Linked DNA regions of Notamacropus eugenii. The protein of the gene in region 1 binds, or shares a complex with, the protein of each later gene. Links are inferred from orthologs where the notes say so. Each region holds a gene or a part of one and is shown in the gene's direction. Other genes may lie near its edges.

Region 1 (3,747 bases):
TTTGAGACCCTCTCAAGCTGGTTTAGCCCATCTGCTGAAACAGTTCACCAGGGCACAGTCGCTGTGCATACTATAGCTTGGAGTCACAGGGAAGAGTTGGGGCAACTGGGTGGACACCAAAGGTGGAAAGCAGTCCTGAAAGGGGCTCAACAGCCCTCACACCACAAGTACTAGTCTTCCTCAGACACACCAACACTCTGCCACTTACGCCTAATAACTAACACCAAGAAAACAGGGTGCTCCACCAGCCAGCACCATGCCGTCCATACATGGAACCCACTGGTTATAGCAAATGGATAAAGTTTGAATGCTGTGCATAAGTTCACTTACCTCAGCGGTGTGCTTTCCAAGGATGGACACATTCATGATGCACACCTTGTCAGAACTAGTTCAGTATCTGGGAGGCTTGGAAAGGAGAAAGGAGAAAGGAGAAAGGAGCGGTGTTGGAAGGCCTACCCACCGAAAGTCTACAGAGCTGTTGTGCTAACCTCACTGCTGTAAGCCTATGAAACCTGGACAGTCTACCAGCCACCTCAGCAAACTGAACTGCTTCCATCAGGAAGACTCTGACGGTCACTTGAGGAGGTAAGGTACCAGGCATAAGGGGTCCCTTCTGAACTGCCAAGCATCCAACTCAACCGCAACTCTGACGGACTGGCCAAGGGGTTTAAATGCCAAACACACATCTGCCTAACCAAATATTTTCAGAACTCGCACAAGGCAAGCGCTCGCACGAAGATCTATCTCAAGGTCTCTCAGGAGAACTCTGGAGTCCAGCGGAAAGCATGGCAGACACGGGCCCAGAGCCCTGCTCTCTGAGGTCCCTCTTGAACTCATGGTCCTCTGACCTTCCTGCTGACGGTGTTATTTGTACATCAGAGAAGGCCCCTGCTCAAAAGCAGGGTGGGGGGGGGCAAACTTGGAGACCTCTCCGCTCCACGCGTGCCCGAGCTGTGCTGGAGGAGCCTTCCCAGCCCGGCCTGGTCTGGCCCGGCCTGGTCTGGCCCGGCCGCGGGCACGCTCTACGGGGCCCCCAACACGCTGGCGTCACTTTGGTCCTCCTGGAGAACGACAAGAACCACCAACAAGCTGTGGCGCGTCCTCGCGGGCCCCAGAAATGGCCAGCGGGCAAGGAGGGCACCGTCCTGGGTTTGCCCTTGAGACCCTGCCAACCTGCAATAGCGCAGTGGCTGGTACAAAGTAGGCCGACTGGCACTGAGGTGAACTGAGTTAAAGTTTATCCAGTCACTTTGACTAGCTCAGTCAACTAGCCTCCCCCAAGAATTGGAAAGCCCGGACCCGCTTCGGCTCCTCCTTCCTCCGCCTCCGCCCACGTGCTGGGCCCCGCAAGGGTCGACGGGAATGGTAGTTTTCCCTTGGGAGTCTCCGCTGCCCCTCCGTGCTTCCGGGACTACGCTTCCCGGGGAGCTCCGCGGCTGCCGCTCAGAAAGCGGTCACCTGACTCAGCCTCGGAGGCGCGATGGCGGCGCCCATGCTGCGCTGCGCCCGAGCTGGACGGGGTTGGTCTCTGGGCTCCCGTCCCCGCCGCACGAGACCGCTTTTCGCCGAGCCGGCGCCGGGCCGGGTGAGAGGGCGGAGCTCCGCAGCGGCGCAGGAGCCGAGGCCGGGGTACAGAAGCCGCCAGGGGAGGAGGAAGGGCCGACGGGGGGTGGGGGTAGGGGTGGGGGTGGGGCGCGTTACTCCCCTCCAGAGCACGCTGTCCCGAGGCCCCTGCCCGGCTTCGCTGGGGGCAGGGAGGGGGGGCGGCTTTGGAAGCGGGGATCCCCAGCGGGTTCTAGAGTCTCCTGTCCGGAGTGGGGTGGGCACGGGAATGGGAAGGAGGCAGGCTCAGCTGTACATCTCTTAGTCCTGTAGCAGCCAACCGAGAAAAGAGGGTGGTGGAGGTGGGGGGAGCCGCGGATTGGGATTCCCAGACCTGAGAGCCCCTCAGGAAGGGACCCGAGGGCCTAACGACACGGGGACACGTGGCCCGCAGACTGAGAGCAGGATCTGGGGGAAAGCTCAGAAGTCAAGTCTCCTTCCACCGCATCCAGAGGTGTTAGCAGAGGGAGACACAGTGGAAACAGACCGGGTGCTGAGGCTGGACTAGTCCGTTCACAAGCATTTCTTATTCGCCTGCGCTGTGCCAGGCGCTGCATTTTCCCTTCTCTGTGCCTCAGTTTCCTCATCCGTGAAGTGAGGGGGTTGGTCAGACTAGGTGAGCCAATCCACAGACATTCATTATTCACCTACTGTGTGCTAGGCTCTTAAGTACTCAAGGATCACTGGCACCTCCAAGTGTCAGAGGTTACCTAAGTGACTTCAGCCCCAGATTTGTGCAGGTAACAAGCAGAGCTAGAATTTCAAGCCATATCCTTGAACTCCAAAACCAGTGTTGTTTCCCCTACACTATGATGCAGCTTTCAAAATCAAATCATTGACTGTTTGGGCTGTGTGCCAGGCACTGTACTGGTACTGTGTAGAAGGTAAAAAGTAGCATAGAACTTAAGCCTCCGACTTCCAGCAGCTTACAGGCTTTGGGGAGACTGGTTTAATAATTGAATAACAGTGTCACTAGATTATATACATACATATATGATACATATACATGTATATGAGACCAAATGAATTATTCTGAAAATTATTGTGCAGGAGTTAAGAGCGGAGAAGCCTTAAGACACAGTTCATGAAGGTTTTGTGAAAGAGGTTGAGTCATTGTTGCACTTAGTACCTTGGTGATCATGGGCAAGTTAATTTACCCTCTGGGAACTGCAGTTTCCTCATCTATAAAATGAGATTACATTAGACCAGAGATTCTCAACCTGTGGGCCTCAGGCCAGGAATCAAAGAATCAAGAAATGAATCCCCAGATAAGTAAAGAAACCCAATGTAAACTGAGTAATGTCCCAAATACAAATATCATTATTTTTCAAATTTACATAGATGCTGTTATGATGAATAAAATTCAAATACATTTTAAAACATTGTTAAATTCATAGTAGGTTGTTTTGTTTTTTTTTTATCATGTATCTTAGTAGATATCAGTAGTACAGCTACCTTCATTTGTGGGGTTCTGAATTTTTTTATATATTAAAAAATGGGGAAAAGGAGCTCAGACTTGAAAAAAATTAAGAACTAGATTATACTAGATCATAGAAGCAAAGATTCATAGCTGGAAGTGACCTAGGAGGTACAGCATCTGTTTCAGTATTTTCAGATGCCCAGACAGATTAAGTGTCTTGCCTAAAGTGATCCAAGTAGTAAGTGGCAAAGCCAGAAATAGAATCCCCTAATTTCAAACCCAGCACTCATTCTACTGCACCGTACTAGACTGTTAACTGTGATCATTTGAAGTCTCACTGAAAAGATAGTCTTTGACTAAAAATTTTGAACATGACCTTGTGCGACTTTTGTATCCCTAGTAGTACAGCATAGTGGGGACCACACCCGTGATTTCATTGACAGAGGGAACTCCCAGCAGGGAAAATCCTTTTACCAATGCAGATTTACACCTGCTCTGCAACTTATAGGCTTAATGGGTTGCCTACTAGCTCATTAAAGACAGGGACTGTTTCTTATTTCATCTTTATATCTCTATGGTTCACTAAAACAATGAGCCATAATAAGAGTTTATTGAACTGAATTCATTATAATATTTATCCCCTTGGGGTCACAAGACCTGAGTTTGAGTCTCTCCTGCTCTTTACTAGAGCTGTGACCTTAATTAAATAATTTAATCCCTTCAGA
Region 2 (3,747 bases), on another chromosome or scaffold:
TCTGTGCAGACCACATAAGTGCAGCAGACCAAGGTACATTCTGTTCATCTAAAGACTTGTTCTCTTATGCCATGTTTGGTACTGCAAGATGCCACACCAGCGAGGTGCCATCCGTCACCTGAAAGCAAATAATAAAGGTCTATCCGAGCCTTTCAGTAAATAAACCTAAGGGACTCTTCCTCTAAAAAGCTCCTAAAAACCAGTCGTCTCCAGAGACCAGTCTTCCTGACGTCTGAATGTTTGCAGCTGAAAAGGTCATCGCGAAGGCGGCCGTCAAGGTCAAGGAGAGCTTTCCGACTTCTCTTTGCTGTGGCCCATGAACTCCAGCCCTTCTATAGGAATCTCCTTCTCCTTGATCGCTTTCTGTGGATTGAGAAATGACATATACAAAGGAAAGACTCAGAGAAAGGAGCGTCTCAAGAATCTAAAGCGCTCCTGACCGGACGAGGAATCAGACCAACGTCGCCAAGCGCTGGGCTGGCTTCCCGACCTGTGACCCTCCTCGGGGAGCTCCGAGCTGGGCACTCAGGCCTCAGAGGCACACAGCAGGGGATCCCAGGGCTGGGCCGCCGACCCCTCCCCACCACCGCGCCGGCACGTGACCAGTCCGGCCGGCGGCGCTCGGGAGCCCAGTGGCCACGGCCACGCAGGGCCCACGCCCAACCCGCGGCTCTCGGGGCTCACCTGCACGCACTGCTGGTAGCGCTTGAAGAGGTCGGTGCAGGGGTCCCCGGAGCCGTCGCCCTTGAGGAACTTCTCGGCGAACCAGCGGTTGAAGCACTGGTCGTACTCTCGCTTCATGTCGGTGCAGGCCTCTCCCACGCTGTTCATGGCGACCAGCCCCGCAGTGGAAGGGCGACGGCGCGCTGCCGACGTCACTCGCGGAGCGCCGCTTACGTCACGCCGGAGCGCCCGTTTCCGGCTCGCAGTGAGGCGGCCGCGACCCCGGAGATGTGGCGTCGGATGCTCCAGCGGACGCTGCGGACAGGGCTGAGCCCCGGCGTGAGGGGCGCCATAGCCGGGGGGCCGGGAGCACGAGTCGGGAGCTGCCGGTCTGCGGGGGACGACTCGGGGAAGCCCCCACCCCCCGGCCCCCGCCCGGGCGACCGAGTGAGCGCCGAGCTGATCGAGCACCTGGAGCGCCTGGCCCTGGTGGATTTCCGAAACCGCGAGGGCGTAGAGCGGCTGCGGGCGGCCATCGAGTTTGCGGAGAAGCTCCGCGCCGTGGACACGGACGGCGTGGCGCCCATGGAGTCGGTGCTGGAGGACCGGTAGGCAAGGCCGTGCACGTCCGTGTGCACGCGGGGGCTCCTCGGGCAGGGATCCCCGATCGCCCAGCGCAGGAGCGCCACACGTGCCGGCGTTTTAACGGCCCCCTCGATGACATGACGTCATCTGCAGTTACCCTCCCAGGAGCGGGGTGGGCGTGCCTCCGGTGTCAGCAGGAGGTCACGAGTAGTGGAAATCCACCCCACCCAAAAGTGCGAAAACGCGGCTCCAAGTGATTGGGTTAGTGTGGAGACCGGCCCCAGGGCTGGTGGAGGTCCCCCGCCCCGTACCCCCGCGGCAGAAGCTCGGGGTCCGGGCCCCTTGCCTATGGGGCGGGCTTCTGGACTGTTGTAGGTGCCTGTACCTGAGAGCCGACGACGTGGTAGAAGGCGGCTGTGTGGAAGACCTGCTGCAGAACTCGCAGCAGACTGTGGAGGAGTATTTTGTGGCACCCCCAGGTAGATGCTACATTGGGGTGCTGGGCAGTCATGTTGCAGCTCAGAGGCAAGGTTTGGGGGGGATGAATAGGTTTGAAATGATTCTGGGAGTATAAAGTGCTGTTTGAATCCCAGGGAGGTGTTAGCCACCCTTAGGCTGTAAACGCGTTGTAAACCTTTTCCATGTAAGACTTTCAGCCCATTTGAACCCCACAACTTAGCAGCCTGTTTTTTGAAGTCAGTTCTACATTTTGGACTTTGAGCTTCATAACAGCGTTGTATCCTCACCCTTCTCCGACGTATGCCCAGCTTAGATGCCAGTCCAGGAAGCTGGTAGAGGGCATAGCACTTCCATATTACCCCCATACTGAAAGGGATTCCGGTTGGGTCAGGGAATCTCAATTTGGTATAGATCGTAGAGTGTCTCTGGTTCTGTGAATTACTTAAACGTTACCAAGTAGTTGCTGGAAGCAGGGGGAGTACCCTTGAGCCATATAGATTTTTTTCTGGAGAATATGGATTCAAATTCCTCTTCTTGGGATGTGTCAAGTGACTATATGGATTCACTGATTGATAACCTCCTCCCTCACAAAAAACCCCAATCCAGAACTAAGCCAGGTAGTTTTCATTTCCTTCCCACTGCTCAGAGGTGCCTATCTAAAGTATTTCAGGAATTACTTTGGTGTGGATGTTTCTTCTGCCAATTGCAACCCCCACTGTCTGAGGATGTTAGGTAATTCCACAATGGGCACTCCTTTCCCTCTTAAATGTGTAGCAAATCTAGTAGTGATCCAGGTATTCCTAGCTGAGAAAGCAGAGTGGTGACAACATTGTTTTCATGAAACACCAACTAGTTTCAGAAGCAAGAAGAGTTAGGCTTAACTGTAATTCTTTCCTTTTTGGATTTTAAACAGGGAACATCACTCTGCCAAAACAAAGTGAACAAGATCCAGCACTGCTTTGAGGAATAGTGCTCACAGTAGGAAATGATGTAGATGGAGGACCTTGGGAAAGACTAAGTTGAAAAAAACTCCCTTGAACTTCCTCAACACAACCAGGTTCTGGCCCCTTTTCTCCTCTCCCCCTGCTGCTCTCCAGTGAAGATGGGGTGAGGATGGAGAACTGCTGAAGTGAGATCCTGCTCTCCCCGATAGAGGTCAAGGAAGACTAGGGACTTGGAGAAAAGCTTCCCAGGAAATGGATCAGGAATTCACTTAGTACCTGGGTCACATGTTGGAAGTGTCTTGTGGTAATTGCAAAATCACCTTTGGTTCAGAGTTTCTGCATGCTGTTATGTAGAGTGAGTTTCTAACCAAAATGCACTTTTGCCCAAGAATTTGTTTTTTCCTGATCAAAGGACTCCATGCAGTCTGGATTATTCATATTTCCTCCCTAAGTATTCCTAGTCTCTTCATAAAGTATCTTCTTTTATCAGTGATTTCCTCTACTGCCAAAGCCTCCATTCAGAGAGAAACAGACTGAAAAGCTCAGCACTGGATTTCGTCTAACAGCAGACCACCACCGACTGTTCCCGTTCAAGCCCCTACTGAGAAGTTCTGTTCAGATAACTTCTCTTATTCTTTTAATCCTCTATCTGCCTGGCACAGAAAAACTGAGTTTACGTAATTAAAATAACCACGACTTGGAAACTATTAAACTTTAGAAATATATTTCTAAACAGAATGGGCTGATTCCTATATATAGTGTCTGTGCAGAGTAACCCACCTTGACACAGCATTGCTTTTTCTCCATAATTGGGGGAGGAAGGGGAACTATGCAACTTGCTTCTAAACCAAAACAACTGCAGCAGTTCAAAATATTTCACTGCCAATATGGCCCTGGTAGAAACTGTATGTATGTAGTTGTATGTAGTTTTTCCTTTAAAAAAAAAGTTATTAAAAAAAAATCCTAAGATACTAAGTCAATTTGGAATGTAGATTCCGAGCAGAGAGCAACTCAGTTCACACTAAAAAAAAAAACAAACAAAAAACAGAACCAAAAAAACCTCATAAGCGGTTTCAATATGGTGCAAAGGAAGAGG
Region 3 (3,747 bases), on another chromosome or scaffold:
TCATATTCTTTGTGAATCGGAGCACTTCGTTCGCCCCGTATTTATCGATCACCCAGGCTGGCATCACGGTGCTCCTGGAAGCCGTGGTGCCGAAGTCTCTGACCCGCCACGGTCTCCCCGGGCACAGCCCGCCCGCCCTCCTCAGCACCAGCCTCTTCAGAACCTCCATCCCCAGGTACCGGGCGCCCACGTGGCTCCGGCAGCAGCCTCACCTGAGCCAGGAGCAGCCCCGAGCCCGGCCCGGCCCGGCCCCGAGCCTTAACTCCGCCCGGTTCGGCTAAATAAGCGCGTTTTTTAAACTGAGTATTGAGAATAGAAAGGGGGGGCCCAAGAAGTAATCAGTGAACCCCCTGGGGGAGGAGATGGCAAAAAAAGGTTTTAAATCATTAATGTCAGTAATCAACTATTTCTACCGCTGCTCGGGTCAAGGGTCAAAATACAATTTTCGTCTATAATGAATGGGCTCTGCCCGTTCTTCTAATTGATCTCCTCCAAAAAAGTCCAATAATGATAATAACAACTCTCCCTGCTTGTCCTCACCCCGCCGCCCCCGCAAAGCACTATCTCCGCACCCCCGACCCCTAAAGCTCCCCTGCAGACCCCGGCCTAACCCTAACGCCTAAAGCCCCTGCCCAGCCCTGTTTGCTCCCCGAGATCCCAGGAGCCTGAGGACTAGGTACACCCACCCGTCCCCAGCCCCGGCCGGGGTCTGAGCTAGAGGTCGTGGAGGGTCGGGAGGATTGGAGGCTTCCTGCTTCCCACGAGTCCCGCCCCCCACTCCCCGGCATGACCCAGGCAGCGGCAGCCAATGGTGTGCGAGGATCATTGCTCGCGGACCAACCGGGGTGCGCGACGCTAAGGGGTGCGAGGAGGCAGATCCAAGATGGCCGCGCCCATGTAACACCGGCAAGCGGCGGCCCTTGACCTTTCTCCCCTCCGCGGCTCTTCCTCGGAGGTCTCTTCAGGGTAACAGGGGCCGGGCGGCTGATCCCGCAGGGAGCAGCGCCATGCTAGGTCTCAGCCTCCGAGAAGTGAGTGTCACCGGCCTGCGGGGGGAGGGACCAGCGCCCGGGCCGTCACTGGCATGGCGTGGGGCGCCACAGTCCGTGCACCCCGGGCCGACGGGCCCTGGGCAGGCGCGGGGAGGCGGCCTGTGATGTCGCGGTCGTCGTTACGTTCTCGGGCCCAGCGTCGTCCCGCAGTGTGTGCGCGTGAGGCCCGTGCGGGGCAGAGCTCTTCGGGTCCGGGTTAGGGCACCTTTTAATGTAGGCGTGTGGGGGAGGGGCGCGGGAGAAGGGGTGTCTTTCAGAAGCCCCACAGTGCCTGTTTCCTCGCTGTGAAGGAGAGGGGGCTGACACATGGTCACTTAGGCGAAATAGAACCCCTCGTCTTCGTTTGCTGCCCCCTCTGCCACGTTGCCTTGGTTCAGCACCGGCCACCGTGTGACCTTGGACGAGTCATTGGTCTCTCTGATAACATAATGGTATATTTGACTACAATATCTTACTATATTTGCTATTTACATATTTAGTGTATACACTTTACTGTGCACCAAGAATATAAATTCCATCATGGAGAGAATTGATTCATTTTCTAGGTGTCCAGAAATAAAAAAAAGAATCAGTTTTTTCCGTGGAGCTTATAGATGTGAAACATATATATATGTGTGTGTGTATACATATATATGTATATATATGTACGTATATATACACATATATGTATATATACATATATGCATATATAATATATTAAGCATATATACCCAATATATGCATAGCAAATATAGTATGGTGTAGAGATGTGTATATATGTGTGTTCATATGTACATACATACACTAAGTCTAGGGGATACCTTTTTTTTATGTTGGTACCCCAAAGTGCTTAGCACAGTGCCTAATGTGATTGATTGATTGATAACATACCTTTCAGGATTGCTATGAGGCTGAGGTATAGTAAAGTACTTTGCAAGTTTTAAAGCAGTTTGGATAATCCCCAACCCCCTCAATGCCAGTGCTTTGCCTCTTCAACTGTCTACAATTCTGAGAGGGTGAAATGGCTCTTATGGAATCTAGGTTCATAACTAGAGAAAAGGGAAGAGACTGAAAATCAAGGACTCGGAGAAACTAACACTGAGGACACACTGCCAAGCAGGACTAACTTAACTACTTGTTAAGTTACTATCAACTTTAAACTTTTATTTAGGGTTTCAGAATAGGGAGGCTAAATTCTTCTCCTTTCTGTACTGTATAGACCTGTGCATGCTCCTGGCATCCAGAACAGGGACTACAAATTTATCAAAATACTGCATTATGGGTTTAGTATTGGTGGCATATTTTTTGTGGAGCTTTTTTGGTACTAATCTAGGATCCTCACTCTGTATTTATAACATTACTTCAATGAGAAAAGTGTTTTCCAAGTTGCAATTTCTTGTTTACACTTCAAAACAACCCTGTGAGGCAGGTCATAGAGGTATAATTATCCCCATTTTACAGATAAGGAAACTGAAGCCCAGAGCTTCAGTGATTTGCCCATGACATGTGGTTTATAAGTATAATGAGCAGGAATTGAACTGTCAAGATAATATGATGTAAGATTTCTGCCTTTCAAAGGTAAGAATTGACTTCCTCAGTTTAAGCAAAATAAAATCTTGCCTTCTTCCCTACGGCCAGTCCGAACTGTATCTCTCTAGCCTCTTCGCTACCCAGAAAGGGAAACTGGGTCATGACATTAAAAGTCACAATCCTAATCACTAGACTACAATGGAGAGCATCCAGTGATAGTGTCATTGGTTGACTTCCTTTGTTAGTCTGCCTGCTTCTCTTTCCTCGCAACACTCCACCCATCTGCCTGGTTCCTTGAAGATCCTGAGAGCCATGGTCAAAAGGGGAACATGAAATAGTGTGAATGAATGGGGCACAGTTCATATAGCTTGAAAAACAATTCAAAATGTCTGCCTCACTCAGTCTTTAGCTTCTCCAGAAGGCAGAATTGGAAAATTGCATTAAACATATATATTTTCTTATTTATTTTTTTATTTTAAGTTTTCAACATTCATTTCCACAAAATTTTGAGTTCCAAATTTTCTCCCCATCTCTCCCCTCCCCCCACCCCACAACACCTTGCATTCTGATTGCCCTTTCCACCAATGTGCCCTCCCTTCTAACATCCCTCCCTTCCCTTATCACATCTTCTTTCTTGCCCTGTAGGGCAAGATAAATTTCTGTACCCCATTACCTGTATTTCTTATTTCCCAGTTGTATGCAAAAACAATTCTCAACATTTGTTCCTAAAACTTTGAATTCCAACTTCTCTTCCTTCCTCCCTCCCCACCCATCCCACTGAGAAGGCAAGCAATTATATATAATTATATATAAGCTATATATGTGTAGTTTTGCAAAAGACTTTCATAATAGTCATGTTGTAGGGAACTGACTATATTTCCCTCCATCCTATCCTGCCCTCCATTTATTCTATTCTCTCTTTTGACCTTGTCCCTCCCCAAGAGTGTTTACTTCTAATTGTTCCTCCTCCCATTTACCCTCCCTTCCATCCTCCCCCCCCACCCTGCTTCTCCCCTTCTCCTCTACTTTCCTGTATCGTAAGATAGATTTTCATACCAAATTGAGTGTGCCTGTTATTCCTTCCTTGAGCCAAATGTGATGAGAGTAAGCTTCACTTTTTCCCTCTTACCTCCCCTTTTTTCCCCTCCATTGGAAGCTTTTTCTTGCCTCTTCTATGCGAGATAAT

What was found. The genes of interacting proteins can lie anywhere in the genome.
Region 2: GATB (region 1) and GATC share a complex: the UniProt entries of both Homo sapiens proteins name them as parts of the heterotrimeric GatCAB amidotransferase (AdT) complex. The link is inferred for Notamacropus eugenii from reciprocal best matches to the Homo sapiens genes GATB and GATC.
Region 3: GATB (region 1) and QRSL1 share a complex: the UniProt entries of both Homo sapiens proteins name them as parts of the heterotrimeric GatCAB amidotransferase (AdT) complex. The link is inferred for Notamacropus eugenii from reciprocal best matches to the Homo sapiens genes GATB and QRSL1.

The regions. Positions count from the first base shown.
Region 1 is NC_092877.1:149,562,734-149,566,480, reverse strand, and holds the start of GATB (glutamyl-tRNA(Gln) amidotransferase subunit B, mitochondrial), read left to right. Parts: upstream 1-1,443; 5' UTR 1,444-1,480; coding exon 1,481-1,629; intron 1,630-3,747. UniProt on the Homo sapiens protein: Allows the formation of correctly charged Gln-tRNA(Gln) through the transamidation of misacylated Glu-tRNA(Gln) in the mitochondria. The reaction takes place in the presence of glutamine and ATP through an activated gamma-phospho-Glu-tRNA(Gln).
Region 2 is NC_092875.1:24,825,865-24,829,611, reverse strand, and holds GATC (glutamyl-tRNA(Gln) amidotransferase subunit C, mitochondrial), read left to right. Parts: upstream 1-951; coding exon 952-1,271; intron 1,272-1,623; coding exon 1,624-1,727; intron 1,728-2,620; coding exon 2,621-2,670; 3' UTR 2,671-3,376; downstream 3,377-3,747. Other genes in the region: TRIAP1 (TP53-regulated inhibitor of apoptosis 1), read right to left, coding at 280-363, 685-831; SRSF9 (serine/arginine-rich splicing factor 9), read right to left, coding at 3,725-3,747. UniProt on the Homo sapiens protein: Allows the formation of correctly charged Gln-tRNA(Gln) through the transamidation of misacylated Glu-tRNA(Gln) in the mitochondria. The reaction takes place in the presence of glutamine and ATP through an activated gamma-phospho-Glu-tRNA(Gln).
Region 3 is NC_092873.1:186,017,264-186,021,010, forward strand, and holds the start of QRSL1 (glutamyl-tRNA(Gln) amidotransferase subunit A, mitochondrial), read left to right. Parts: upstream 1-909; 5' UTR 910-1,007; coding exon 1,008-1,031; intron 1,032-3,747. Other genes in the region: RTN4IP1 (reticulon-4-interacting protein 1, mitochondrial), read right to left, coding at 1-169. UniProt on the Homo sapiens protein: Allows the formation of correctly charged Gln-tRNA(Gln) through the transamidation of misacylated Glu-tRNA(Gln) in the mitochondria. The reaction takes place in the presence of glutamine and ATP through an activated gamma-phospho-Glu-tRNA(Gln).